Linked DNA regions of Drosophila melanogaster. The protein of the gene in region 1 interacts with the protein of each later gene in a pairwise test. Each region holds a gene or a part of one and is shown in the gene's direction. Other genes may lie near its edges. The genes, in order: CG4270 and CG10164.

The links.
Region 2: the proteins of CG4270 (region 1) and CG10164 interact in a two-hybrid assay, tested with the Drosophila melanogaster proteins (2 studies listed by BioGRID).

What each region holds. Positions count from the first base shown.
Region 1 is NT_033779.5:2,255,509-2,270,525, forward strand, and holds CG4270 (uncharacterized protein), read left to right. Parts: upstream 1-7,933; 5' UTR 7,934-8,049; coding exon 8,050-8,247; intron 8,248-8,307; coding exon 8,308-8,534; coding exon of another isoform or gene 8,535-8,538; exon of another isoform or gene 8,539-8,577; intron 8,578-8,588; coding exon 8,589-8,676; 3' UTR 8,677-8,733; downstream 8,734-15,017. Other genes in the region: CG34049 (uncharacterized protein), read right to left, coding at 8,759-8,912, 8,975-9,201, 9,264-9,803; CG17242 (uncharacterized protein), read right to left, coding at 12,848-13,585.
Region 2 is NT_033777.3:23,546,985-23,563,918, reverse strand, and holds CG10164 (uncharacterized protein), read left to right. Parts: upstream 1-6,975; 5' UTR 6,976-7,686; intron 7,687-7,906; 5' UTR 7,907-7,911; coding exon 7,912-9,072; 3' UTR 9,073-9,596; downstream 9,597-16,934.

The sequences.
Region 1 (15,017 bases):
TGACTTGCCTGTCGGCAACAGGAAATTGCATTAATCATACGCCCCGTGGGGTGCATGGTGTTGTACTCGAAGTGCCATCACACATTTCATCCACTTCTTGGCGCCCGGAGCATCCATCAAATTAATGGAAATTCATATTCGCCCGCCAAAGAAATTTGTTTATCCAGCTAAAATGCTATCGAGTTCGTAACCCCGCCCACTCCACGCATTAGTTTATGTAGTTAGTTCTTCTGGCCGAGCGTGGCTATTACTTTTTTTTTTTGATATTTTTAATAGAATTACTTTCCAGACTTTTGAGCAGCATAGCTGAAAGTGGCCCGCGGACATGGAGCTTCAGGCAGCGAACAAAAGCAATTTAAAACGCTGACTCATAAGCGATGTGGCCGCAGAAACAAGTTTGTTTTAACATTTTATTGAATTAAACCAAGGATTCTATTTTGGTTCAGAGGCACTGGAAAAATCCAAAAATATCACAGTCTAGGCTCAAATTGTAGGATATTGCGTTTCTAAACATTTGAAACCATTTTCTCGCAGTGCAGCTTAAATTCCGAGCACGTTTCCACCACGCAGTTCGATGTTTTAAACGCTTTTCCGGCCAAAATTCACATAGAATGCAATCAGATAGTCATGCACTTGGCGCTTGGTCAAAATACCCAACGGGCCGTTATCCTTGTCAACAACTATCGCCTGTTGGGTCGAGGTGACAATGGTAATGGGGGAGTTGGGCGGGGTCAGGGAAATGGGGAGCAGATACGACTGCGCCGGGGGTAACTTAAGCTAATTTTGCCAGGCGTTCCATCGAAGGCTGCTGTTCGGCCGGCAAGTCAAGTGCCTCGCTCCAAGTGAGCATTGCACTCGCCCAATTAAGCCCGACCGGAATTCGGCCAAAATCCTCGACTTAGCTGCAGATGGGAGTTACTAGCGGGAGTGGTCATTACTCATGGTTATGGATACTAATCGGATGCACTCGGAAAATCAGTCGTTCTTGAAGCATTGCATATCTGGTTTTCTCAGATGGTTATTCATATGCAGTGCAGTCATATACGCTAACTAACTAAAATTAATTTATATAAGATATCTTTAAGTTACTTCTGAATCTAGCTCTCTTTATGTATAGCATAGAATATTTACCAGGCATAGTTTGAATTTACCCGTTTAAGCCAGCATCTCTAATCCTTGTACCTGGTATGCAAAATTTCAGTGCAGGCGGCAATTGAATGATAACACAAGCAGCAGCTGCACCGTTAAAACTAAATTGGCGAACGAGCGACCAAACGACTGCGTGTCTGCTGCTCACCACCACCCCACTGGCCATTTTCCGCTTTCCATGGAAAACCCTCGTCGAAATCTGTGGGCATTTTTGGCAGCAAATTGAAATGAAAATCTCGCCGCGGTTTTCTGGCTTTGTTCGCCGCTTGGCCAGCGAATGAAATCTGGTGGCTGGTTGATAAAGAAGCTGTGGGAATGGGGAAGTCCTGAATGTCAGGAGTGTTCCAAACAACACAAGAGGACTCTTTCACATTCAGTTTGGTAGTAAAACTTAAAAAATATTTCAGTTAAGTAAGCAATATTCATCTTTCTAGTGTTCAAGTAACCCTAACATCCTATAGATTAAATCCTTGTGAAATAGTTTGGCGGAACAGCCTCCACAATCCCCATAATAGCCCTTTTCCCGGCAGCCCAGCAATCTGCGATCTATTCATATCGTAAAATACAAATGCAACTGCGACCAAAGCACCGCAAAACTATTGCCAGCGTTGGCGATAGCGATGGCTTCCTATTCGCAGGATATATGCAGCCATTTCCGGCGCCATAGCTGCCAGCTTCCGCTTTACCTTTTACCACCACAGCACCACCCCCTTTGACACTTTGACGGTGGCGCCCAGAGCTGTCGGGAAATCCACCGTCTGGCCCCACTTCCCACTCAGCTTATCCCCACTCAATCGTCTGGCAAATGGAGGCTTGACTTTAAGCGATGCAAATTTTAATGCGCCAATGCGCAATTTATGATTATTTCATGCTCATTTTAATTTGCCCATTCAGCAGACCGCTTTAAAGTGGCGGACAAAAATGCCCGTGGTGCTCGGGTTGCAGCTGCTGGAATGAGATAGCGGCGTGTCCTCATTAATTCCATGCACGTTTTCCCGGGGAAAAGTCGGGCGGGTTGTGCCGAGGGGGGATGGATGCGAGGCCGCTAATAAAACAAAAATGGAAAACATATAAATCAGTGTCCTTGGCACGTGTCGCTGTCGTCGTCGAAGTCATTGTGCTTCCCAGGTGTAGGCCCCGTGGGTCAACCCAAAGGATCTTCGCCCCAACATCGGCGTATCCTTCGTATCCTTGGTATCCCCATTCGCATTACCACTTTTGGACTTGTGCGCTGTCACGTTGTGAATCTCACGAGGGCAAACACACGCAGAGAAATAGGGAATCCAAATCACAGCGTCGGGGAAAAGGCGACACACGGTGACACAACACGCGTGCCGCTACACTGAGAGAAATATGAAAAGAAAGCCATTAGTGTTGGGTACCTAGAATATAAGAGGAAATGATATAAATTCATATTGCATATGTGTGTTGCAATATTCCCAATTTTTATTAAGCTATTAGAGTAGAAATATTCTTAGATGATCTTCCAATTGCTGAGCTTTCTTTCAGTGCATTCCAACAGCACACATACACTCAGAGACAGGAGGGTTACCACGGGGCGTTAAGCAAAATGGAGATGCAAACGCTTCGCCCCTTCGGGGATGTCCTGAATTCCAATACGAGCCGATTTCAGCCAGTGATTGCATTATAAATTAAAATACGTCAACGCAGCGAATCAACAGCTGCGCTCCTTGCCAGGACATTCGGAAAACCCACCAGATGCAAAATCTCGCAGCATTAAGCATGGGAAATTTACTCGCGGCATTTGTCACTGTTTTCCACAGGAAAAACCTTTAAATTTGAATAATAGCCCGGCCTTTAACGCCAGTAATAAGATTCTTCTTTAGCATTTAGCATGTTTATGGTTAACAAAAGTTCAGGTGGCAATAAAATAGCAAAAGGAGAAGCGAGGAAATTGTGTAGAATTCGATGGCCTGTAATATCTGTGCGGTGCAACCATTGGCTTTTTTAATTAAACGCTGGCAAACTGTGGCAATGTGCAATGGGAGAATCTCGAAATGACAAACAGAAGAACCGAGCAGCTCACAAAGCGAGCCAATACAAATATTGTTTTCCCTGGGTTTCGGCATTTTTACGATACCTTCCCCTCAAGGTTGCCAGGATACCGGGGTGTGGGAAGGTTCAAAGTCGTAGCTACTGTTATTTGTCCGCTCATGCGGAGTATTTAATTGCATCCCAATGGAGCGCACTTGGGAAAGTGCAACGAGAATCGGTAAACAGCAGAGGAAAAGCGAAGGAAAAGCAGGGGGAAAGCCTGGAGAAAGAGTACACGAGCAAGTGGGTTGAAGTGGGTAATCGAAATTTTGCCGGGTCCTTCTTTTCAACCAGACAAAGTTGAAAGGGGGCGAAAACATGGAGGATGCAAGGGACAGGACTCTGCTTTCGCTCTCGAGGGGAACACAACTATTTGCCAGAGTAAACAAATATTTACATATGTTTGTTGAAATTTTATGCTTCGCCAAGTCCTTGCATTTCTTTGACAGTTTCTTTGTGAACTTTCAGGTTTTGACAAATTAGTTAGGGAAGAAGTCAGTCAGCTTGTCAGGTGAGTCGTGCACAAAAGGAGCCATGTCCCGATGGCATGAATTGAATAATCTAATCATCTCTCAGATTTCTCCTCCATTCAATTACCAAAGAAAACCACTTTGATCGCATCAAAAGCTTAACGAAAACCATTAGATATCACTTATTCACCTAGGACCCCTGACTCACCTCATAACTTAACTTCTCATCTGCGCAAAACTAAGCTTTGAATCCATATTCCAAGTCCACAGTTTTTGCCATTCTAGAAGGAAATTGTGAAATAAATTGAAATGCAAGGCAGGCACATAAATTATTTGCCAGTCAACAGCTGAGGCAAATAAATAAAAATGGAAATGCATTTTTTGGTCAGATCCTCAGTGCTCGGGACATGTCTCGTTGGCAAGTCCATAAAACTATCAGCAAATTTTGGTAGAATTAAAATATTTATGCATTGTACGTGTGCCACATGCTTATGTGTCCCTAGCTGCATTTTCCATTTTCCTCTGTCTTATTTCCTTCTTTTCGGGCAACGCAACAACATGATTTGTTTATTGTTTTAATAAACGTCAGCAATTTTCTTGGGCTTTTAAAGAAACATTTCGAACTGGCTGCATGTGCGTATGATTAATGTGGCAATGTCAACTGAATTCAAAAAACCCGCCTCACTCTTTCGCTGCTAACTAAATGGAAAACGCAAAAGGCAAAGGGAAAATGGAAAATGGAAACTTTCAATGCAACCAAATGCAATGCCACAATGATTTATGGCCCAACTTGAAAATGGACGATTGTTTCACTCGTTTCGGGAGTTGGCATCCCATGGAAACTGTGAAAATTGCTGGGATTTTGGGGGCGGCGAGGGCGTGTCCGCGGTGCTTATGGCCATCGCCATTTATTTAAACGTACGCGAACAGCGATTCGTGCTGCGATTTCCTCGATTGGAAAAATTGAATTATAACCATTTGATGAGCTCAATAAAAACTGGCAGCTGCCTTTGCCAATGATGGCCTTTCAAAAGGTTCGAAGTTCGGTTAAAAAAACGATGTAATTTTTGGACAGCCGTCATGAGTATTACGAGATTAAGGCTTATTATTATTTGTTCACTATGTGTGTATGGGCCACTTTTAATCCACATTTCCAGCTGATGAAAAAATCCCGAGCATATAGTGCTTAAATCCGGTGCCATTCATCTGGTTCCATCCGTCGCCACATACGACGCACTTTTCACATCCACTTTGCTCGCTGGCGGAAAATTTGCACCACCGATTGACGCGATAGCTTTTAGCCAAGTTCATTGCATCAAAAGGCAAAGCCAATAAAAAAGGCGAAACAGCGCCATTTAGCCGGAGGAAAGGCGATCTCCGTGCCACTGTAACTCGCTCAATTGAATAGACAAAGGGGGGGCATTTCGATGCGGCGCCCCTTTCAACATCCAGTCCTTGGAGCCCCTCCACTTCCCCCTGCGGAGGAGGTGGCATTCCGAACAGGCGCTCAGAAATCGCAGACAGGTGCTCGGTGCCCAGGATTCAGCCGAAAAGGATGGAGGCACAGTGACAGCGGATTGCAGGGGATCAGAGGGAGACCAATCGAGCTTTATTACACTGCGAAAAATGGTGCGAGTGTGTGCGTTCAGTTTCTTCTATTACAGCTCATTTTAAATGGGTTAAATATGAGTTTAATTTCCTAATAAAATGCCAATCTATTTATATACGTATTTTATATTAAAACCTACAATAAATCTCCCAAGTGTAGTGGTGGCTCAAAGTAGCACGCAGCTGAGTGGCAGAGTCCTGAAGTTTGGCGACGGCGGCCACCGTTAGTAATCCACTTTTTCGTCCTGCTCCTCCTCCCGCTGCCTTCCTTTGGGCCGCAAACATTTTAGCTTTTATGGCCGAAAGGCGCAAAATATGACTGCCAGCCAGACTTTGCCGGCGCACACATGCAAATGCAATTTCCAAAAAATTTTTCCGCCAAAAAGTCGTGCATGAGAATGTGGTTCGCAGAAACGAACCCAAAATTGTTCGTTGTTGTAGTTTTAAGTCGCTCGATAGCAATCCTGGCCCAAAAACAATTTTGGTAGGGCGGCGGAGATGTTCGAAAAAAAAACTTTTCGCTTTGCCATAAACCGATTTGGTAGCAAATTTTATGTCGTTTAGATGGAAAATTTCCATTTGACTGCCCTTCGCGGGGATCAAGGATTCAAGGAGTTCTCGTTGAGCTTTGTTTGCTCGATTTTTCAGTGACTTATTTCTGTTCTGTTGCATTTTATCGCTAATTGACATTACCGAGGGTCAAAGGCAACTGGAATGGCATCCGACTAATTGAATTCCAGGTGGGCGGTAAGTGGAAAAGCGGAAAAGCTATTCATTAACCTTTGGCACTTTGTTAATGGATTTAAAGAGTAAGTGATACTAAAAGGTGTGGAATGTGAAGCTTATAACATTTGAAATCGTTGGGAATACTTAAGCTTAACGACATTGGAATACGCATGCTACCAATGAAATCTGCTGGAATACAAGAATACATTTATTGGCTGCAGTTGAGATTGTTTGGCTTCAAATTCAGAATGAACTTTTTAAATTGTGCATTCATTTTTTGTGCGGTACTTACCCTATGCCAAAACATGACCAATTCGAATCAATGGGAATCGGAATTAAAGGCAGTATCCGTATGTGCAACCGAGTGCATCCGGCTCCGGATGCCGTGTGGTTGATGGAAATGCGAGCCTGTTTGCCCAGATACCAGATACGATATATCAGATACCATCTATGTATATAATGCCCGCATGCTCGAAATAAGAGTGCGAGTGTATTTATTTTGCGTATGGCGCGCACTGTACCCTCCACTCGACCAGCAATGCATAAATAAACGAAACCAAATTTGCGAAATTAATTAAATCGACAGAAAAGTAACGTGTGCGCTTTGCGTTTTACGCTTTGACTGTGGCCAGCTTACAACCCAAACAATTTGGCCACCCAGCCACTGAACCACCCAATCCCCCAGCCACCCAACCACCCAACCACACATTTTCCAACTCCGATGGCACCGAAATTGTGAATTGTGCATTGTGCGGATGACGCGACTGTGCATCGCGTTTCTGACAGAGGCCATGGAAACCTGAAATGCAGCGAGCAGGCTTAAAGTTTATTACAATATTACCAGAAATTCTACCAGCGGCTTAAATGGAGCCATTTATCCATTTCGAAAATATCTTTGTCTATAGAGCAAATGAAAATAAGAAATGGAAAAGGGAGCTCCCGATTAATTGAATTGAAATTCATCCTAATCTTTGATATTGATTGAATTATATATTACCAATTAACCAAATTGGCTTTAATCTGTATTAACATTAATACTTATTTAAATTCGCGGCTTAATAAACTATTTTATCCAGCTTTAAGCTTATGGCCGAGTACTTAAGTACTTAGTACACAAATTCACATAAATCAATGAGCTGGGCCATAATTTAGTGCCTGGCACATGAGTATATCAAACGCAATGCTGTGACCCCGCATCCACCTTGCGGCGCACAGGATAATTTCAGCGAGTCAGCCTGTCCTGCGGCTGTATCCGCCTATCTGTACATCGGAGCATCGGCTTAATCTCTGCCGGGAGCAGCGACATCGGCCGGTCCATTGATTTGCATTTGCACAACTCATTAGGGATTCACACTTGAAGCACCACCCGCAGCGCAGACACACACTCACACACTTAAATAATTTAATATTCCGAGTGTTTCGACATCGAAATTTGCACTTCCATGGGCGGCGCTGCGGGCGATTGATAAGGGGCCTCCATGTCGGCCAACTCGCATTATCCAGCTCGATTCAGTCGGCAATTAATGCCACTCCAATTGCCCGATTTGCCTGCACCTACATATCCAGCCATATGGCTGGATTGCGAAAGAATCGCCGGCTCATTAATAACCAAACCCAGTGACATGCATCACTCATACGTCACGTTGGTTAATCCCATCGGCAGATGCAGAAGAAGGATGTGTGATACAGTCTGTCTAATTCCCGTCAATGGATTTGGGCACGCACACGTCCTGTGAATCCGTCACCCACAGCCTGTGTTTGCGGTATCAATCACAATGCTAATACCGATGTTTAGGCCAGATTATGAGGCGGTTTGAAAAAAGGGTTTTTCGGCTGTAAACAAAACATTGTGATTGATGGGTGAGCTATTCAGAACTCAGTGAAAATTTTAATTGACTGCCTTGTATACATGTATAATAACCACTTAATTTTGTAACTTAAAAACGAGAAATGTTGATCTAGCCAGCTAGCTTAAAAAGTCATTAGGCATACGTAAATTTGGTTAACTAAATCACGGCGCCAGCCAATCCCCCAAAGAAATATGGCGAAGAGAAACGTAGCGCCCATTCCCAAAACCCACGAGCGCCCTCCAGGTCCCAGGGGTCAGGATACCAAGGGCAACAACGAGCTCTTCCTGAAGGAGGTCTTCAATACCACCAATAAATATCGGGCAATGCACGGCTGTCCCGCGGTGACCATTAATGCTGCACTAAATAAGCTGGCTCAGGAATGGGCCAATGTAGGATGAGGGATAAAGAGTATTCTATAGTATTTTATATTAATTTGCACCCATTTCCAGCATCTCCGCGATCAGAACACAATGGCGCACAGACCCAATCCCAAGTACGGCGAAAACATTTTCCTCTCCGGTGGAATGGATGTGACCGGTGATCTGCCGGTGGAAATGTGGTATCGGGAAATCAATAGCTACGATTTCAACAAGGCGCAGTTTGTGCCCACCGCTGGACACTTTACTCAGCTCATTTGGAAGTCGTCGGTGGAAATGGGTTCGGGTGTGGCCCGAAAGTGAGTCTTATGGCTATGGCTATGGTAATCCTATTCATACATGTCTTCCAATAGAGCGGATAGAACTTGGGTGGTTTGCAACTACAATCCTCCCGGCAATGTTGTGGGTTTGTTCAAGGATAATGTGCCGCCAAAGCAATAACTCTGGGATTTTTTGATCAAAATTTTAAGCATAATAAAAGCGTAATCTAGGTCCAGTATTTGTTTGTTTTATTTACCATTTTCTATTTTAAATTGTGATGTTTCGATTTTCTAGTTTCCTTGGCATCCAAGTCCGATTTAAGTAGAAGGAATTTTCTAGGCAGGACATTTTCCCTGAAATGTTCGCTTACATTTCCAGGCGGATGGTAATTGCACACAATCCAAATGGAGGAAACACTGCGTGTAAAATGTAGTTAGTTTCGGATTATTTTTAGTATGACTTAAAATTATGAACCCACTCGCATGCCACGCCCACTCCCAGGAACTCTGACTCTCTCCAAACCAACTGGGTAAAATGTCCAGTGTACAAATTAAAGCCTGGCTTTAAGTAATCGTAGTTGTATTTTTCTTGGTACCAGAGTTTCAGTATTTGATCCACGGAGAATTTGGATCTCCGGACACGCATAATATTCTCGCCGTAAAGAGGATTAGGTCGAGTTTCCAGTTTGTTCAGATCAGCCAAATGCTGTGGAAATCAAGTTTAGGTGAAAAAGAAAGGATCTATTTATATTAAATACATCTACATACATCTGCCCACTCCTGTGCATAGGAACAAAGTTTTTCATCCATTTTCAGGGGATTGGCGTTGTGAAGCCTTCGGTACTTATTGGTTTCCCTTAGTACAGCTTGTTTTATAGGCTTGCGTCGAATGATAGGAATTTTGTATATTTCAAATTCCTTTAACAGAGACTTCTTATCTTTTTTCAGTTTTTTCGACTGAATGGAACTTCTGGAAGATGTTTTGCACTTGGGAGCTGCGCATTGTAAACACCTTTTACCATGCGACCAATCCTTTTCTGTGTTAAGTGATCTATTTGGTGTTGATGGAAATTTGACTGGCAGTGACTTTATGGAATTTATAGATTGTGATCTCTGGACCTCGCAGGCCAGATAGTTCCGGGAATTATGGTAAATCTTAATGGGTTTACGGCAGAAGGAAGTGAGGCAGCTGCGGCACTTTTCCAAATCGCGGTTGCTTGAATCGCAACCAATAAACGTAGCGTCATTGTGCTGAATTATCTGCAAAGGACATTTCTCTGCCGACTGGACTTTATTTTCAATCTCCATTTAATTTAATATATTCATAGTAATATCGAAAATTTTGTAAGTTGGAAATTATTTTGTATATGAAGTTAAAGAGACTGGTGGCTGGTGTTGCTTTTTCCTAGACTTTTCGCTTTCACCAGCGCACGTTATCCTGGCTTTCCTTTTTTTTTATTAATATTAATTCTGTTTTTTCCCGTTTATTTTGGCGACAATTTCGCGTCACACATCATTAATTTTAAATTTCTGCCATAAATATCAACGGGGCGTGTATGAGCAGCGGGTGGTGACGGGTCACAAAGGTGTCAAGGTGAAATTATGGTAGCAGCAAGCTCCCCTCCTCTCCCCGTGACCTCTGACCTCCACCGAGTTAGCCTGCTTTTTGATTGACTGTTTGTCACTTGGGCATGAAAATTAAAATGGAATTTTTTACGCCCGGAGTTTTGGGGGAATGTTTTTTAGCGGACTGTTGATGAATTGATGGAGATAAAAATATTTATGATTCAATTTCCATGCCGTGCTTTCATTGATATTGAGTTCAGATCGTTAGGCTTTGTAATGAATACTACGTTAAATATACAAACTAATAATACTGGTAATTGGACTTTTTATTTAAATATTGTACATGACTGCTGCACTCTCTGACCGTTTGAATAATTTAATGTTGAATGTCATTAACCATACCCTTTAAAATCTCTGAGAAATCAAATTTTCGGTATTCTACCTAAACTGATTCGTAGAACCTTAACATTTTCCGACTTGCCACTTTCCGTGAGGCAGGAGCTATATTATTGAAACCCCCGTAACCGTAACCGTAACCGTTAACCCAATAAACCACTTTTAGGGGCGACAGGCGAACGGCAAGCGACTTTCGCTGTTGGCTTCAGTTTCACACCGTCAACAAGTGACAAGCACACCATCGCAAATATCCATAGACACACAGACAGATACGTATACGATACATATACGTGTTACTGGCATCACGTCAAAGTTGGTTGGCGTAATGCCACAGAAATTTCAGCAGCCTGCAACAAAAGCGAGTCAACCAAAATGGGAACGGTCAAAACAACAGCATAAAAATTGGTAAAATTTAAATTCACACACATACACACACTCGCAACAAAATCCCAGCAGGAAGAAGTGATCATAAGGCCTGCCCCAAAAAGTATACTATGAATTTTTATGGCGCTTTTTGGGTTTTTTTTAATTTCCACAAGCTGCCAAAAAAGGAAGAGGGACCCTCTGGTGTCCTGATGTACGTGATGGTTACATATATTGCGCTACTGAACCGAAGGTCCTTTTTTAATCGTGCTAGGTCGGTTAAAAAATATTCTTCTATGTAAATGATTTTAACAATTTCCCATTTTTTGTATTAAATTTCAATTTAATGTTGACCTACAATAAATATATTTAATTAGTTGCGGTTATGTTTATGAAGTTCGGGGAAAAAAGGAAAATCTATTAGACTCAAGCAACTATTAAATTTTAATTACAAAAATATATGGCATAAGATGAGTGAAATACGAATAAAGTGAAAATCCTTTTGGCTTTAATATTAAAATTTCAACACCTGAGGGAATAAGCCGCATTTACCACTTAGTTTCCGCAGCCGTCACACAGGACTCTTTGTGCCATTGTACACCTCGTCGAATGGTTAAATGCGTTCAACTGTCAAAAAGCCGCAGACAAAAGTTCAATTTAATTACCACAAAAGAAAGTGGGACAACAAAAGGTGTGCAATTTCCATGGGAAACCCAAAACTTCGGATCGCACTGTCTGCCAATAAATCCTGCCGACTGCCAATGAGTTTTACAATGTAATTAAGCAGACAGGGTAACTTATTTCTGTCCCCCCACCCCGCACTACCACATCTTCTTACCCGTTAACCAGGGGTAAATGAGGTCAGGGGGGGAGGGGGCGTGGCAGCGGGAGACGGAGGCTGTGGGGCAGGAACCGAAAGTCGAAGGGCGAAGGAAGTTCCTCTCAGTGAAAGCTTTCTTCGTTATGCATTGTAATTTGCGTGTAATTTTCAAGGCGTTGGGCGAAACGTGGAAATGCTATTGCAACAACAGCGGCAATAATAATTGCAACTGCAACAACAGCAGCAGCAACCAACAACAGCAACAACAAGAACAGAAACACCAACAAGAGCAGCTGCTTAAAGGCAAAAGTCTCATTTATTTTAATGTGTCGACGCTGACGACGTGCAAATGTCTGCCAGTTTTCCAGCAGGTTTTTCCCTTCAGTTTTTCACTTCGCCAGCGAATATCCCATGTTCAAATTGCACACAGATGCAGCGGCCATTGTTTGTCAGTGTGTGTGTGTGTGCGCTCGTATGCGTGTTGTAATTATTAAGCTGACAATGCAGATGCTGCTCTTCCCGCTGATTTGAGTTGCAGGGTTGCAGTTAAGCCGATTTTAAACCAATCCAGGCTGAAATCAAAACTGTGTTTTTTTGTCTTGGATGGAGAGAAATAAGTAAAGTTTTAAGTATAAGTATAGTTTTATATTCATAAAATAGCTCCAGATTATAATTCTTACTGAAAGAAAATTAAATTTTAAGATGATCTTGAGTTAAGTTACCAGATATAGCAATGTATTTCTTAAATATCCTTTATCTATCTAGATGTTCGTTTTAAAATCCCCTCCTGATCGCCAGCTGCATCCCTGGCCTTAGTGGCTCTGGCCTCCGCTGTGGGTCAAACCCCTCATGACTCATGGCTGACAACGGTCATAACAATACCAATTTTAATGGCCAACACAATGAGGCTCATAACCATAAAAAATGCACAGCCATACAGCGAGAGCAGGAACCAAAATGAGAACAACGCGGGGAATCATGAGCATTTATTGGGCTTATGGGCCGTATTAATAATGTTCATCTGTGCCGCTCTCTCCCAGATCATAGAAAAAATGCAAATGAATTAAATTTCAATTTCGCAGCGAAACCAGCAAATAAAAAACGATGTGTGTGCGTTTTATGGTTGAGCGAAAACAATTTGACCAATTTTGTGCAGCACAAACTGTTGATTTTTTAAACGTATATTTTAAAGGTCGTTTTAAAATGCCTAGCCTATTCTGAAGAAATTCATTAGCTTAACAGTGGATTCAATCCACACTTTGAACATCGCGATATTGGCATAGACACTAGATTTATTGAGGACGTCGCAGGCACTTTGCCAGGAAAGGATTCCATACAGCCGATTATTGGCAACCAAAGGACCGCCGACGAATCCTTGACAGGCGTAGGGAATTTCTCCCGCAGGTGCTGCGCAGATCTCGCCCACACTCATAAGTCTGCCCTTCAGAGCAAGGTTTGTCGCGCACATCAATTGATCTTGGATTTTTACATCGACTCTCAGTAAAACTTCCGACGAAGGATTCATGGCAGAGAGTTGACCCCAACCCGAAACGGAGGCATTCGTTCCCGGCACTAATGGTATGGTGGCCAAGGGAATGGCCCGAATTCCGCCGTCCAAGTACAGCGGCGATCTCAGCTGGAGTATGGCCACATCACTGGGACGCAGGCCAAGTACTTGCAGCCTCATCTTCTCGACCTTCAGCACAGTGCCACCGGCGTTTTCCTGGGCAGACCCCACTCGCACCGAGATGAATTCCAATCTGGCCTTTCTCACACACTCGGCAATGGTCAGGATGATATCTTCGCTGTATATCACTCCTCCGCAGTGATGTTTGTCGTTTATTTGAACGGAAGCCTGCCAGGGAGCTTGTTCAATGCCAATCGATTTGAAATCTGCTGCTATTTGAGCAATGGAAACTAATAGAAGAATGCCTTTGAGCAGCATTTTGAAGAAATACTTTCTACAACCACCGCGTAGAGATCACAGACTACTAACAAAATGCATTTTGCTTTATCTTATATAGAGTAATTTTGATATTTTTGTTTAGTCACGCTTTCGTTTTACATACGACTTTAGATTTACTGATTCAAATTTTAGAGCATGATTGTGGAGGCAGATAAATTCGTAGTCAGGTTGGCATAGTAATTGGTTATATCATTTAAATTAACATATTTTTTTGCTGCGGTGTTATAAATACTTTTTTCATAGCAAATTGGCTGTTCAAATATAGCTGTGAGAGTTGCAGCCATTAATTTCCCAGAGAAATGCTTTTCTTTCGCCATTTCTTGGGAACCTCTTACAGTAATTACGATTATCAAGCATACTCAGTGGTGACCAGTGAAAATAAATTATTTACAAAAGTGGTGAGCAAAGTTTATCTTTCGGGCGACAGACAACAGTTGCCATTTGGCTGTTGATTTTTATGAAAGAATTATGGCCACGCCGTGGGGGTGAAAAGCCGAACTAAATGGCTTCCTGTGGCTGCAGTTTTTCCGCCTTCCGCTACCCGCTTTCCCTGGGAAACCTGCTGTGCAAGACGTATACATATATTTCGCAAATTGTAATTTAAGGCCTTCTGGAGCGAAGCCAAGTAATAATTTGTGTTGCAATTGTGCATCTCTCGTCCTGGCAACGGATTTCGCATTTTGAATTGTGAAATGGAAATGGCGGAATTGATGCGCTCCGCTGCACTGAGCCCGGTTCTTATCCTTAGCAGGAGCTCAGCTGAGAGGAGCTGGCATTGTTATCGTATACCAAGTATATTTTCCGCGCTCCTCCATTTCCTCCATTTTCCCCAGTGGCGGCATATCAATGCGACTGCTTGAGAATAGCATTTTATTGCTTCAAACAACATGGAAAGTCAAGTGTTGCAGTCCCCTTATTTTTTGTGCTTTTCCGCATCCGTTCTGGGTATTTTTCTCGCTTGGCGAAATCGGTTCGGCGCAATAAATTCTATTAAAATGCAATTTGAAGGCTCTGTGATTTTAAATAATGCCAAGAGCAGCCATCGGGTTAATGCAGACAGGCGGCATCCTTGGCGCTTCGTTATCCTGGCAATCGTTTCCATTCCCTTTATTCTTTTTTTCATCCCTTCCAACTGGAGATTTATGCAATCTCCTGCTGTTGTTTGTTCGCCGGATATTCGAAGTATTTATGGTGTGCCCGGAGGCTCCTTAGCTAATTGGGTTGTCAATTTAATCGGAAGTTGTTGGGGCTTATCCTCGTGGATTTGCCCAACTTTTGGCCGCAAAGTGGGCTCTCTCCTTGTGTAAATACTTGAATGTGTATGGGCAAAAACCACAGGCAAAAGAAATTGCAATTTAATTAATGCCAAGTGAGAGAGAAGATTAAAATAGTTGAAATGTCATTAGCACAG
Region 2 (16,934 bases), on another chromosome or scaffold:
GGGGAAATGTTTGCTGATGTTGTAAAATTTATTTCCCCCTGCACTGTACAGCTGGCAGCCCCTGACGAGTGTTTTCTTTGATGGCCTTTTCATTGAGTGCTCAACTAATAAAGTTTCGCATATGTGGACAAATATCACGTGCTGGGAATAAAATGAGTTTATGAGCGAATACAAAAAGATGGAATGATACTAAGAAACATGCAGGGGCGTTGAGGGCAACTAAAAAGTGTTTATGGTTGGCTCTTTTTTTTTATGATTCTCAAGGTTCCGGGAGTTCTTGGGTAGCAGGCTCAAACTATTATAAATAAATTATCATTTGCCTAAGCCGACACGAAGACACGTTTGATGGGGCTCATTATTCTTTCGGGCCATCATTTGCCTACCACTTTAGGGTGGGGCTTAAATTAAATCAACATCGCTGGGAAAACACCGTGAAAAATGTCCATAAAGTAAGTCGATGCGGCAAACAAAGGCCGGAACGGAACGGAGGACATTCATCGACATAAAACTTAAATTTTTAATGCCAGCCCTACACGCCCCCCTCTTTTACCAACGCCCTCAATGTGTGTCGTTTCAGGTGCAAGACACATAAAAAATAAATGAGCACAGTACAAGAAAAGCGGCGCGAAAGGAAAGCCAAACAAAAATACAAAGCTGCACGGCGTGGAAAATAAGTGGAAAGCCACGGCGTGCCACAATTGTGCGGGTAAGGGATAAAGCGGGCGGCGGGCGGTAGGCGACACAAAAGGGCGTGGACGCCCCCTGCCACATTTCCACATTTTGTCACCCAGCCGCGTAACTCGCGACAATTTTTTATGGCAAACAAATTTTGTTTTTGTTTCTCGCAGCGCCACAAACAGAAATCGAGCCAAAGGCGAAATCGTAGGGATTCTTGCCGGAAAAGGAAATGAAAAAGTACTTAATATTTCACAAAAGCTGCAGTGAAAGGCAATTTACAGAGAGTAGCGACATCGAGTGGAATATGACAGACTAATGGAAATTGAAAGGCAAATATTTAAGGAATAGCCAGCAAACAGAATTCAAATTCAATGGTATTTCCCAAAGGACTTGTGGGTTACCCACCAGAGTTCCGAATTCCGAGTAAGCTCATCAGTGCAACATCCATAAATAGTGGCCTGGTTTGGTCAGCCCACCCACATTTGTGCGGGACACGGTGAAAAATAATCTATTATTATAATAGCTTGGGGACTAGGAAAATGGCTATGAAAATTCCAAAGGGTGCTCAAAAATATTACTTCAGGGTTTTACACCTCAAATGTGTATCGATTACATGAAATATGTGGTATTTCTTCTATTTACTTCTTATGATATTTGGTAAAATATAGAAATACTCTCGCAGTGCACGTATTACCCGCGAACTGGTAGTGCCTGCATTGCCAAGGCAACTTTGTGGCTACAGCTTCTGAGCACCTCAAGGACCAAGGAATGGTAACCGCAGCTACAGACGCGACCAAACCCACGAGCGATCCTTGAACGCCCTCTTCTTCGGTGGCTTCCAGCCACGTCCCCCTTCGTCCTCCTGCCAACGCGTCAGGATATGCCGCCCCTACAAGTTGCCACCCCAGAGCACCCACAAAAGATGGCGCGTGAGCCGCGAGAGAAGTCAAAAAATTAAACGCTGTACACAAGATTTGTTGGCTGCGAATGTGGCACCCACGGGGTCTCGACATTAACCTACAGGCTCGGGCCACCAGTGCGTATGAGTGATGCGCACAAGGAGACGCCTGTCTCTGTCATGAGAAAAATAAATGTTACATGTGAGGCGAATGAACTCCAAATTGATTGGACCTCCCGTGTGTGTGTGGGTGTTTGTGCGTGTGCCTGGAGCTGTACTATAAATATTGAAATAATTAAATTGCAGTTTAATAAATTAAATGGAAGAGAGCATAAATATTTAAGCTGGCAAATGTGCGCCTGCCATCCGTATAACCTAATTATGAGAAAACCACTTAAGCTCCTTAATTGCACAAAGGCGAAAATGGACGGTTGTGACACGTGGGGAGTTCTCAAATGGGTGTGGTTAGTCGAGGGGTCTGCTAGTTTATTCACTTCTTTTCTGATTTAAGTTCAAGTCTATCTCGACTGCAGAAAGGTAATGTTCGTGAACTTTCAGACTTCCAGCAGTCGTGGTCCCAGTTTGAATCCTGTCGTATTCTCTACCGCTTCCTTTGTAGACATGACGAGAAATTTAAGGAGCAGGGAGCAGAAGCAGGAGCTATCCCTAATCCCAGGGCCATACAACTCCCTCTACGGGGATGCCGATTCGTATTGTTGACTGCGCCGGAAATTAAGCGCACCGGCAGGAGGAAGTCTGCCCTAATGTACTAAAGTGGAATAACGTGTATGCCATATCTTGAAACATGCGGATGGCAGTAAACACAGATATATATATACAGATAGACAAACAGATACAGATACGGATACTCCGATACAGTTGCGAATGCAAATGCCGTTAGTCCGACACCGACAACAAAAAAAAAAAAAGAAATATCAACAAGTCCCATGTAAATTCTACCTGACTTTTAGCTTGGCTCGAACTGGAATTGCTTTTCATTCGATCCAAACTCCAGACAGTGACATTTATTCAAACTACACGGCTGCCCTGAATTTTGCATTACGGGAAAATTCACGTCAGTTACGCTGCGATTTCGCTTATGATAACAATTTGCCCGAGGGCAAAACTTTCCGGCCGCCGCGATGCCAATCATATGAGAGAAGGCAATGCCAGCATAATTTTTTCAGCTCGGCGATAAAAACTTTCCCCAGCGAACGAGCGGAAAATAGAGAAATGGCTGGGAGGGGGTGCGGAAAAGCAAATATGAAGCTCGGAAAAACTGTTTGACGAAAAAAAAGGCGACATATAATTGGAAAACTTTCGGTAAAAGGCGATGGCGACAAGGCAAAGTGTGAAGAAATATTTAAGTTCTTGCAAGTGGCGTGAACTAAATAGAAAAAAAAATCACTAAAAAAGCTCGGTAAATGAAAAAAAAGAAGAAAACGGGGTCACTTTAGGGCGAGGGTAGTCACTTAACTATTTATGGAATTATTGAAATGTCGATTACCTTTCTCTGGCCAATCGATACCACAATCGAAAGGGTATAAGGAAAATATATTAAACCGAGAAAAGGTTAAAATACATAAAGTAATGGCTAGTGGGTGGACTGGGCACACAGATTGATAAATATAGCCGAATGCATAATTTAATTGACTTTTATGGGTGCTCCGGCAGCAGCCCCACAATTTACACCATTGTTTGTTTTTGCATATAATTTCAATTGAATTTTAATTGAAATTATGACGACTCCTAGCTCCACTGAGCCAGACTCAACTGGGCGGCACTGAGCCATTGTTTTCCTAACCGTAGTGCTTTGTTTACGCGCCCCGGCAATAATTTTGCCAATGGGCTGTGGCTCGTGGGTTGTAATACGGTGGGTGGTTGGGTGGTCCGCCCACAATGGCAACCATTTAGCATATTAGAATATGCATTGTTTGCGCCCAACTACGGCACACGCAATGTGCGACCACCCAGGAGGCTCTGTTCACGGGGGACGAGGATCGAATTCTGTTTAGGGCTCGCCAGGATGTTTCCTAATAGCCGTCACTTAAATTGGCCAGGGAATTAAATTTCCTCGTTCCCTAACCAAGTGGTTTCCAATAGCACCTATACTATTTTCATTGTATCCTTGTAGTTTGATTAAGATGAAGAAATTCTACAAGATACAGTCATGGTCAAAATTATTTTCACAAAGTGCATTTTTGTGCATGGGTCACAAACAGTTGCTTGTGCAGCAAGTGGGGGGAGGTGAAATGCAAAAAAACTTTTGCTTTTGCAAATTCAAACCTATGCAGAGTCAGATGAAAGAAGAATGGAAAAAATAACTGTTCCTATGCGCAAGGAAGAGGCAAATGAAGAGATCTTTATCAGTTGTCAGAAGTATTTGCACACGGTTTCGTCGCATCACAATTATTTTCACAACGCAATTTCTTCTTCAGTGATTGGTTTAGAGTGACAAGTGCCGGTTTGTTTGCTTAAATACATTTAAATTATTGAATAAAAATTAGATTTAATCATTTTCCTATTACAGTTATTAAATAAAATGCCCAAAACAAAAGAGTTAACAGTTGAGGCCCGGGCTGGTATTGTTGCTAGGTTTAAAGCCGGTACACCTGCGGCCAAAATAGCTGAAATATATCAAATTTCGCGTAGAACTGTCTACTACTTAATAAAAAAGTTTGATACAGTTGGCACATTAAAAAATAAAAAAAGATCAGGCCGAAAACCTGTGCTGGACCAAAGGCAATGCAGGCAAATACTTGGAGTTGTGGCGAAGAATCCTAGTGCCAGTCCGGTAAAAATTGCCTTAGAATCAAAAAATACAATTGGCAAACAAGTTAGTAGTTCTACAATTCGTCGCAGGCTAAAAGAAGCTGATTTTAAGACATACGTTGTTCGCAAAACGATTGAGATCACACCAACCAACAAAACAAAACGTCTTCGATTTGCGTTGGAATATGTTAAGAAGCCTCTTGACTTTTGGTTTAATATTTTATGGACTGATGAGTCTGCATTTCAGTACCAGGGGTCATACAGCAAGCATTTTATGCATTTGAAAAATAATCAAAAGCATTTGGCAGCCCAGCCAACCAATAGATTTGGTGGGGGCACAGTCATGTTTTGGGGATGTCTTTCCTATTATGGATTCGGAGACTTGGTACCGATAGAAGGAACTTTAAATCAGAACGGATACCTTCTTATCTTAAACAACCATGCTTTTACGTCTGGAAATAGACTTTTTCCAACTACTGAATGGATTCTTCAGCAGGACAATGCTCCATGCCATAAGGGTAGGATACCAACAAAATTTTTAAACGACCTTAATCTGGCGGTTCTTCCGTGGCCCCCCCAAAGCCCAGACCTTAATATCATTGAAAACGTTTGGGCTTTTATTAAAAACCAACGAACTATTGATAAAAATAGAAAACGAGAGGGAGCCATCATTGAAATAGCGGAGATTTGGTCCAAATTGACATTAGAATTTGCACAAACTTTGGTAAGGTCAATACCAAAAAGACTTCAAGCAGTTATTGATGCCAAAGGTGGTGTTACAAAATATTAGTATTGTATTTATATAAAATAAAGAAATTCTTATGTTGAAATTAGATGTTAAGCTGAAATTTACTAAATTAAGTTGAGTGAAAATACTTTTGAAGCGCAATAAACATGTGAAAATACTATTGACAACTTGCATGCATATTTTCTTTTGCTTTAAGCTTTGTACTATGAACCGTTATCTTTCGTATTTCTTTTCGACTACCTTCTGCATAGATCAAGCTAAGCGATAAGAACTATTTCAGGCAAATCGGACAACAACAAGAAGAAATATAACAAAAAGAAGTTGAAGTTTGCAAATATTGTGCGTTGTGAAAATACTTTTGACCACCTCTGTATGTTTTCCCAGAGCCAACGAACTGAACTTGGTAAGTGTTTATTAAAGGACTTTGCCACAAAAGGACTAATCATTGGATAATCAAAAAATGATTGAACAAGTGTTAAAAATATTTTATAGGTAATCATTTTTCTCATGTTACTGAAAGTTGCAAGACTAGCGAACATATTTCAGTAATTTAAAGTGCCACACATCCATTGTTCAACATTTGTTTTTATTAGAGTTTTCCGAACTCAGCTGCCGGTGTAGTTTTACTTTTTCCTGTCCCTTCTGCCTCGTAAGTAAGGAAAACAAATAAATAAATTTCAGTTCTGGCCAGGGCACTCACTCTCACACACACACATAGCCACATGTGGAAATGTGTGTGTGAGGTTGCCTTTCATAAATTTGATATGTATGCGAATTCCTTTCGGTTGTGTGGTTGGGGTTTTGTTTTTTGTCAAGCGAAACCCATTTCCTGGGACTCACATGCTGCCACCAGGTTTCATCTACATTTGCAATTATTTTATGCTCCGCATTTGCCATTTCGTCTTTAATTAGATTTCCTGCCCAACCCCTAGCACAAATTTGCACTTGCCTTTGATGGGGCTTTCATTAGCCCGGCCTTGCGTGCCGTTTGTCTTGCTGGACGATAATTCCACTTTGGCGAACAAGGGCTGGCCAAAAAACACTTTAAGCCCTCTTCGGCTGGCTCACATGCATTTGCTATTGGGCTCTCGGTGTCATGCTGCGACATGCACTACTCGCCACGAAAACATGCAATTTGCAATGGCCATTTGCGCGACCATCAGTCAGTGGGACGCTAGAAACTTTAATTGCCCGCACACGTTTTAGCAAGCTAAGAAAGCTCGATGGAAAACACTGAGTAAAACTCGACAAAATCGCACTCGCCGCAAATGTGTTTTCGCGCCTTAGTTTTGGCCAAACTCTGACACACGAACGTGGACCTCAGACACCGAATGCCACTCGATATAATAGCCTTTCACCACGACGACGACCGCCAAGCACGTCCTTTCGCCAGCTCGTAACGAATTCAACTGAATCGCCACGGCCAGGAACAGCTCGATTTGTTTATGAATCGTCGTGTGCGCTTCGAGCCGAGTCCTCGGAACTTATTGTTCTGGGCGGCAGAGAGAGCTTTTTAGTCCTGTGAGTGGGGCTGCGAATATCGTAAAGTTAAGAGAAAGGGCATTTCTAGTGCTCTGCCCTTCACGCTCAGTTAAGAATTAAATTCTTGGTATGATACTTACTGCTTTACTTTCAAATTTTTGCTTTGCTTTAATTTGCTTTGTTTTAAAAAAGCATTTACTCTCACAATTTTTAGGGAAATCGTAGTTTTGAGTTCAGAGTTGATTATTAAAAATATAAATTCTTTATACAATTTAAGAAAGAAATTGCATATATTTATTCGTTTTCTGCTGTAATGAGTGAGAAAGTATTAGATGGAGAACAACATTTTCGTTTTCTTATTTTTACAATATAATTTAAAGCATTGCCGTAATTGTCAGGCGCAGTGACTTTCGAAGAACCATTTTGAATATCAAAATTTGGGAACACCAGCTCCCGGAATACAGGATTGTCCATTCCTATAGCTCCACATAGATGATCTAAATTGAACAGAGTACGCCTTTCCCCAAGTAGCAGGGGCCCTATCCGTATTCCTGGTCCCATTCTAGACACAAACAAAAACATTCACAGCAGTCGAACAGACAGCCCAAAGACACTCCCACACCAGCTGTGTGTATGCGGTTTAGTTGGCCAACCGCAAAATTCTTGGCAAACAAAATAAAGAAAACTAACTTGGGCCGAAGCAGAGCAGATCCAAGCGGCAACGGAAATTGTTAACCTTTGGGGATATCAAACATTTACGATTGCGTGGCAGCGGCAGCAACATTTAAGTTTTTATCAGCACAAAATAAAGTTTTGGTTTACGGATTGTGTTCCTGTCCGCCAACGCTCCTCCTACTATCCACCACTTTTTGGCCAGAGGCAGCTACAAGTGCCCAGGAGCCAAGACAGGAGCAAAATTCAGGAGCAGAAGCTGGATCAGGGGCTGAAGGTTCGTCCCTGTTGATTCTGGGGCACGCAAAACTTTTATCCTTTTCAATTTCGTTTTTCTTCGCCGAGTACTTTTGAGGGATTTAAATTTCTGTTTGCAGCCGAGCCAACAGCGAAACAACAACCGTGGGAGTGGCAGCATCGAGTTCGTGGCGACCAGGTGAGTGTTTCTTGTTGGCCTAATCACGGCTTTGCCGACTTGGCCACAATCAAGCACAATGCGATTGGCGCTGCTAATTTGACTTGAATGATACATAAAAAGGTGTACGAAAAAAAATTAGGAGGCTTATGTGAAAATGTGATGGTAGAAAATAAGTATATTTTTGATTAAATATTTTTAACAAATAGTATTTTTTAGTCTAAAAATAATTATTTTTCAGCCGTCATGAAGAAGAAGAGTCGTAGAGATCGGACACCAAAAGTAGAACAACCTGAACCATCGAGAGTTGTCAACACGGAGCCTATTCGACTGAACGTGGAACCCCAATCCCAAGAGATAGATGACCAGGCTGCACCATTTATTTTGGTAGACTGTGCGAAATATGAGGATCGTTCAGATTTGGAAGCAATGCTTAGTTCCATAGAAAAGGAACGGATGAAAAAGGTTCAGGCAGATATAGAGCAGCAATATTTTCCCCTCCTGGAGGATGAAGAACCACCTCCAGAATTAGATATGCCTATAAACCTAAGCTCTCAAGCATTGGCTGTACTGAATGATGCAGATAATGAGCGCCGCTTTAAAGAGGATCTGGAGAGCCTTAGTATTGCTGGACTGGAAGAGAAAGATACATCCATTAGCATTACCAACATGAAAATAGAAGACAGCAAACTATTGTTTCGGACTATGCCAGGTATGAATCAGATTTGCTGCACGCTAGAGCAGATGAAAAATGTTCATGGGAAAATTGGACCAGCAGAACCAACTCCACAGGCACGTTGCACCAGCTTGATTCCACTTTCAGGCCTTCGCCGGCAAGACACCTTCGAAATTAAACGTAAAAAGAACCAAAAGATTAGATATCCCGAGGTTTCCACCAAATCAGCAATTAGCGAAAGGAAACATCTACCATTAATTGCCAAGGGAGGAAAATGTGAGAAAGTTATCTCAGAGACTGATAAGATTTTCAGCCAGATTGGCGATCTTCTCGTGAAACTGCAGCTCCAACACGAGGGCAGCAAAGTCCTGAACAAGGGATCCTCTTATTCCTACATGGTGAACATTAAGCCAGCTGGAGGTGCATCCAATTGTTCAGTTTATGCGCTTACAAAACTCAAATCGCACGAAGTAGAGGAGACGCATGCCGAAAATCTAAGAACTTCTCACGCTCCATTGATCAACATTTTATACCCTGGTCGTGGTGGACTTATGGAGACTTCTGAGTTGTCCACGACCGCACGATGTATCGATGGAAGCTCCATTGGGTCGATGTCCCTTCGCGAAACGCCGTCCTCCAAGATCAAACCATCATTTTTACGCAAAAGGCCCAGTTCCCATCTAAGGGCACCTAACCCTGTCAAATTTTGCCACGGCAGGAAGAAAAATTAGGCCGCTTGGTAACCATTCCGCAAATTATTTGTTCGAAAGCCATTTATTTTCTATCGACATTGGAATCTCCAAATAATGCTTACAAATTCATATGTTGGTCATTCAAAAGGATCTTGAATGGATATTTTATGCAAAAATATATCAGTTGCCAGAGTCTAATGAACGGTAATAATTCAACAAATGCATACAATGCGGCCATAATATAAAATATTAAGTGATACAAAACAAATATATATTTTTATAAGCCATTAATTAAAAAATAACCTACATTTTGGTTATTAATGGTCTCTTGGATTTATTTCCACTAGGGTCAATTAATAAAATTGCAAGTCTGAAACCCAGTTTAAAAGATCAATATGCTGTTTTCGATTGAATTGAATTGTACAGCGCAAACAATATTTGTTTTTTCTTTATTCATCGCAAATAAACAAGTGGTTTCAAGTGGTTTATTTATTTGCCATTTTAAATTCATCACAAAATGCACAATAATTATATAGATGTTATCGGCATTCACATTTTCAATTACCCTCGTATTTTAATTTATTGTGTTGTAATTAAAGCGATTTAATCATATTCAATCGCCAGAGTCCTCCAATCAAAACTCGTGCACCTTTCTGGAGTGCTTCCCTGCATAAAAGTTGCATCTTGTCCACTTCCTGGAGGAGTTGTCTAATTGCATGGCCACGCACTTTCATTGCTCATTTCCGAGTTGCCCTCAAGTGCGTGGTTGCAGCTCATTTTGTTCGGTTTGCACAATTGTGGCCAAAGTGTTTTCAACTTTCTTCTGTCAATGCGCCCGGAGGTCGAATCCGAAGTCCGTGCCTCACCCGAAAATCCCCTCTTTCGGTTTGGGTTTGGTGAAATGTCGGCCAAGTGCTGGGCTTGGCTTGTGCCAGTTGGCAGACGTCCTGCTGCAGGACCTTAAAAACCTGCCTGCCTCCTGTCATTTGTCGTTGGCCAGAAATTGCAAGATTGACTACTGGGCTGCAGAGGGTGAACAAGTGGGTGGGCACAAAAGTTTTCATTAGTTTTAATTAAATCCCAAACAGCATTTCCATGCTGCACTCTTTCGCTCGCTCGTTCTCTGAGGCGTGTGCTCTTTCGAGCCTTTGTCAATGAGTTTTCCCAACAAAACCGAATTAAAAACACATCAAAATTAATGACACTCCGCCCCGGGATGGCCAGGAGCCGGGAGCTGGTCAAAAGGAAGTTGCCATTGCCTCCACTGCCACTCGAAGTGCGGACAGCATTTGTGCAATTTATTTAGCCGGCTTTTTGCGGCGCTTCTGGATGCGCGCATGTTGCTAAATAAATTTCATGATTTACTGCAGCCATACGGGAAACGCGGACAAGAAGACAAAAAAAAAAAATGCCAGTTGCCAGTGGCCACAATGTTTATATAGTTGTCGAGTGGGCGTGGCGCATCGACGGGTGCGAGAGGCGGGGACGTATGCCATGAGCCGAGGCTACATGAAATTTGCAATTAGATTTGGCGAAAAAGGCAGCCGCAACATCCGCCCGGCGTCCCAGTTCCACTTGCAACCAGCAACCAACTTCGTTGTCGGTTCGGTCCGGACGAAATATTTAATGCGGAAAGTTTAATCGCAATAGCAACGGCAGCTGCAGCGTCGCATTTCCGGCATTTGTTGGTTTTTAGACTGCATTTCCCGCATTCAGATGGCAGTTGCAACGCAGGACATGGACATCGCAGCGACTCATGGTTGACATCATTAAATTTGATGTCCGGCATTTACTGGTCACCGCCTCTTGTCTTCGGGGGCATCCAGGATGCCGGGTCATCGGGATGACAGAATGCGGACGCACTTTCACTGCGGCCAGCCTTTGAGTGGCCAAGAAATTAAATAAATTTTTGATTAGTCCGGAGCCACATGTATATGTATTCCACACTGCTTTTTAGTGCAGAGATTTCCCTGGGATTTAGGTGCGCTCAGCGAGTGGTGGCTTAATTTTCTGGTGACCGCTTTGAAAGTGGGCTGATTAGCTTGGTAACTGAAGTTGCACTGGGTTAGTCGGAGCTAATGGAAACAGAATGGTGTCATTATTAAAGTAGAAGATTTTTCATTTTTGTAGAGAAAAGGAAGCCTGTAACAGTCAAAATTTCATCAAGTTTGCAATTAAGAAAGTGCAGCATCGACACTCAAATTTCGGTGAAGTGATAATCGGAACATGTTTTTCGCTGTCCTCAGCATCTCTAATTAGCTTTCAGCTAATTTGCAAAAAACCCCCGAGCGTGGGAAATGAAAGCCAAATAAATGTTGCACACAATTAGAATGCACAACAATAATTACATAATAAATTCGCCAACGCAACTGGAATGGCAACTGCAACTGCAGCTGTCTCAGCGGCATTCAGTGTCTTCCGGCGGCAGCTGCCACGAAATGTAAATGAAAATAAGTGGCAGGACGCCTTCTTCGTCCTGTATACTTCGCTCTTGTTGGCGACCGCGTTTACAAATGCCTTCGACTAGTTGAGCACTTGATCAGCGGAGAAGTTGGCTGAGGGAGCGGGAGCATGAGCTTCCTTCATCCATTTTACTCCGCATGTGGGCGACGGCGAGATTAATAAAATTTATTATCATTGCGATAGTGGCAAAACAAACTGAACGCCCCACACATCCCCCAAGTATTTATGTGCTAAAACCAGCTGGGAGAACATATCAAAATGAAGTAAAATTCATTTTACAACATTCAGACTGAGCTGAGTGAGCACTGAAACTGTAGCTCTCGAATGCAAACCGAAATTGCAAATGCTTCTGGGCTGCCATCGAGCTGAGGGCTCAGTGCTGAGAGCTCAGTGCCGGGAGATCCTCCAGTCCTCCAGTGCTCCAGCCCATCCGCCATCCCCACTCCATCTGCTCCATTGAGGAGGGGCAGAAAGGAGGAGCGCCGCAGGAGCAAAACGGAAGTTCGACGCCCAAGTGGCAGTCGCGATAATAGCGCCCTGCCATGTGCGCTAAAGTATTAGCATATACACAGGCGCACACGAACCGAGTGCTAGAAGAAAAACTTTTGACTGCAGCGCCGCTATCAGGAGACACATAAATATGAAAACGCAAGCGGGGCTTGAGAAATGCACTCGCAGAAACCCATGCCGGGGCGATAAATACACCACAAGCATATTTATATTTACTGCAAGCCAAATAAAATGGTTCTACTTATGGCTGAGGGGCAAGTAAATGGTTTGGTTAGACTTGGAAACAAGTTAAGATTTAAATGGGTCAAATGGACTGTTAATCTAAGTCTTACACTATTATAGACTACCAGCATAAATACTTTAATTTAATAGATGAGCTAATATAAAAAGGAAATATTATTTAAATATATTTACGTTCAGTTTTTCATTCAGGGTGTACACATTTTTGAATGTGAAACAACAAAGTATTGTATATGGGCAGTTTATAGTCATTAAGTATTTTAAGATATTATTTTTATTAATTTTTTTTATTTTTGACAACTGAGTTAAATAACTAAGAGACTTCTTGCAGTGCCGTTGAAAGGGTAACCAGGCTAGTGGCGACTTCCTAGGCAGATATATGGAGTGTAAAAGTGTCATTGCCACGCCCAGCGGCCATTACCCACCGCCCACAGCACGCTGGCAATGGAACTGCAACAGAGTGGAATTTGAATATTATTGTCACCCACACACACAACGCACAACCAAACACCAGAGCAAACACACCCAACACACCCCAAAGACCCAGTGGGCCATGGAGCAGGCACGAACACAGGTTTACTTGGACAGACCTCGACCTGGAGACCAGAAAGGAGATAGAAGCAGGACCAGGACCACAACTGGAACCCAGTATTTAATACTGTTTGTGTAAAATAATAGCTAGGCCCCCCAGAGAGTGAGCTAGAGCGAGCGAGGTGCGGCTAGTGTGCGACAGAGAAGCGAGAAATGCGCCCCTGGCGGTGCCGTAAATTCAAATTAAGTCGCCCAACTTGCTGACAGTTAAAATCTTGGTAACAAAAATGTGCAGAGGAGCCCACAGGAGAGATCAGCACTGCACTGGGCCACACTGCGTATGAGTGTTCCTGGGCTCTAGTGCTGCCTTCCTCGCTGTGTGTGAGTGTGCATATCGACCCTCTTGACACGTGTGTGTGTGTGTGTGTGTGCATGTTAGTTACCAGTTTGTTGAGCATCACACGCAGTTGGTTTTGAATTTATTGCCGCAAAATGCAGCAGCGAAAGGTATTCCCCAGAAGTGCAGATGGATTAAGTGAGCTTCATATACATATATGTATATCTACACACATACTGCATCCCACCCTAAGTGCGGGTGTGATTGCGTTTCATTTTAATTAAATACTTTGCCAAGCTCCCGCAAAATGTCAAGGCCTTCGGCTCGTGTTCACCTTGCTCTTCATCAGAACCTCCTCATCTCCACTCACCTGGAATGGCGAAGGCCCCAGCAGTGTGGTCAACTTTCATTGCCGCAATTTGGGGTCATCATCGAAATCAATAAACGCTACCAAAGTGCTTCAAAGTGCGATTTTAAGACTTGGGGAAAGAGAGAAATGGCCAAGCACTTCCCAGCACCAGACATAGTTGAAAGATTTCCCACCGTCCGGCAAAGTTTGTCTGACCAGGTCAGGGAATTGTGGTCTGAATTATGGGCAAGAGGAAAGAGGGAGGTGCAAAGGAGTGATTTCATCGCTGCTTCGATAGCCTAGTGGCAATTCCGCTGACACTCAAATGAAAATATATTGGAAAATCTGAAAGCAAGTAAAACACTTTATAATTAATACACTAAATAAATTTTTACAAAACGAATGTGCTTCAGTCTCTTTCCCAGTAGTGGTGAAATATTCAATGTGACAGAGCTGGTTAAATAATAGGTATATAGCCGTGGGTGTCTGCTCACCGGGGGTATCAAGTTGAACGTTTTATTGGACGCTTAAGTTTTACAATCAATTCCAGAGCTTATTGCCCGCTACAACCGAGCGCTTAATAATAAAACTCAATTTCATTTTGCTCCTCTTTGTGCCTCGTCTTACTCAGAGGCTCGTCCGGAAATTTGAAGCCAATTAAAAATGCATTCAACGGCAGCGCCAGGAAATAAGCGGCAAAAGAAAAATGAAAAGACAAATTGACAGGCGGTCGCTGGGGGAGTGGGGGCGTGGCATGCCCAGGACACTCGACAGCGAAAGCTCAAGGACAACTGGGGAGCAAAAGTGTCCCCAAGTGAGACCCGTCCAAGATACCGCCGTGGACGGGGCTGGTGCATTTTTTATGGAAATAAATATGATTGCCGTGATCCATGATCTGTGCAATCAGGCAAATGGACCAAATCGAGTATTTTAATCAACGCCAAGGGTCGGACCACAAAAAAATATCGCCGGCAAAGGCAAACAAAGGCAAACACTTGACGGGAGCATTAAAAGGATTGCAGCGCAAACAAAGGCCGGGCGTGGAAAGCTGGGTGGCTTTTAAATCCGAGGCCCCTTCAGGCGGGGGTGTGAATTTGCCGGAAAAGTGCACAAGAAACGCCACTTTACATGCCAAATCGTAAATATTTTGCCATGAAAACAGCACCGGTGGCTGTCGGCCTGGAGTGGAGTGAAGTCGTTTCATTTCAGCCATTTTTTTTTTTCCACCCATATCCAGCTCTTCTTTTTTTTCCCTCCCTCATAGCCCACCTGTAAAGGCAACTGTCGCCCCAGCCAGTGGCAGTACGCATCGAGTGTGAATGAAGTGCGCTCTTGGGCGCTTTGCGGCGTTTTGCCGGAGTAGGAAATGAAAAACACTGGAATAATACACAGCACGGCAATGCCGCTCCAAATGTGTTTTTTCTCTGTTTTTAGTACACTTCTCTATGACACTTGGTGGCCAGCAGGGTGGTTGCTAGCTGGAGATGATGCTTGTCGAGCAGGTTGCCTAATGGCAAATGTTTCAGGGTTTAATTCCATACGTGGACCCAGTAATCCTGTCAAGCCTCGAAGATGAAAACTAAAAATCATTTCTATAGACTGCGTCCTATGAGACAGTCCTTTATTGCACAGTTCAGCCAGAACGTTCTCTATTTTATTATACATTTTATGTTAAAAGCTTACCAAATTTACCTTTATATTTCCACAACAATCGCTCACTCTCTATAATATCCGTTAAAAAACGAGTTGGCCAGAAAGTGAGACCTCATAATCACATAAAAGACATGTGATGCCGTTTTTAGCAGCTAAAAGCTGTGCGTTACCCCGACCCTACAACCGAACGCACTGCCGTTGGCAGTCAAGAGCAGTCGGGTGCAACATAATATTCAAGGTGGCTTAAACGGGCGGGAGGGAGAGAGGCAGTTTGGTTTGCCAGGGATTGAGCCCGAAAGACTGTCAGCTGCGGTCCAGCTTTAATTGTGGATGCCACAAAATGCCTTAAGGTGGCTTTGATTCCCAAGAGGTCGGACTTGCAGAGCCCATCGTTGCGTTTATTTCCCGCTCATACCTTGCCCGTAATCAATTTAGATGGCAGTGTATTTCTTGGCTGCAGCTGTATCCTTTACTATCCGAGGAGGAGAAGCTTCTTGGAACAAAGACCTCCGCCTGGGGACAGGAAATGCATCTTGGCCCTATCCGGACAGCTGGCTGAGCTGAGCTCCTTGGACTTGGCCAAGGCCCTTTCATGCTGTTGTTCATTTTTGACATAAACATTATGATGCATTCGGTTGAGTAATTTTTATTGTATTTTTTCCCGAGTTCACCCGGCCGGCCAGCCTCCTCGGCCCGGCCCCCTTTGTTGAGCTGAGCTATCCGCGGGCTGTTTCAATGTGTACTTTGGAAATTCTGCCCTTTGCCTGCTTTAATATGACCAACAATTCTCCAGAGCTTTTGCGGTCATTTTGCTTTTATTAAAAAGTATGAAGTGGGGCCTCGTCCGGAATCCGCACTGAGGACTACTGACTTCGTACCCTCGAGTGCCATAGTGGCTGCAGTTGTTTATTATGTGCAAGATTTCTATGGTCGCAACGAGAGTTATTATTATTTTGCCATACATTTATTTATGTCCGCCGATGTCGTGTGTGTTCGGGGTCCATACGCACAATAAAGAATGCACAATGTGGCTGGGAGCGGGCATATTGTTCGCTTGACTACAAACGTTTGCTTATTCTCTAATCAAACAAAATTCAATCACTCGAAATTCATTGCATACTTTCGAGAGACAAGCGCCCGAAAGGGGGAAGATGATTTACAGTGCCTTTATTATTCATGAATTTTAAGGACTCGGGCGAAGGACTTTGGGGACTTGGTTTTTTTGCGATTTCATTTTGTTTGATTACTTGTTGTTCTTGTCGGGGATTTTGTTGTCGAGTATGCATGTTATTGTGTATTTCCTTGCTGGCTCTGCAAATCCCCAAAAGCTTCGGCCAACTGGCTTGGAGATAAGTGCATTTGTCAGTCATTCAATCTGTGTCCCGCCCCCTCCATTTCGGAGTACAAATCCTGGTCCTTGTCGTCGCACGCTTTCCTCCTGGGTGAAACACCAATTGTTTTCATTGATTTTGTTTCAGCAGCTCCCCTTTTTCGATCCCCATGTGCTGACTTGTTGATGGCCAGCTATTTGATGGTATATTGAGCTGGCAGCCAAACGAGTGTGACTAACAAGCTGGCTGCTTATAATTCCCTAACGTTTTCCTGCCAAAGTACCCAAGTATTCGTAGTAAGAAAGAAAAATTGAGAACTTTCCAAGTAAATTAAATAGAAGGCACTCGGGAAAAAACTGATTAAATTGCCTTGTTTGGCATAGGGTAATAGGGTTAGAACAGGTTACTGTTTATTATGATTTCGAGCTTCTTAAACGTCCAGTGCTAAACGAATTTGAAAGATCAAATTAATATTTATTAAACTAAT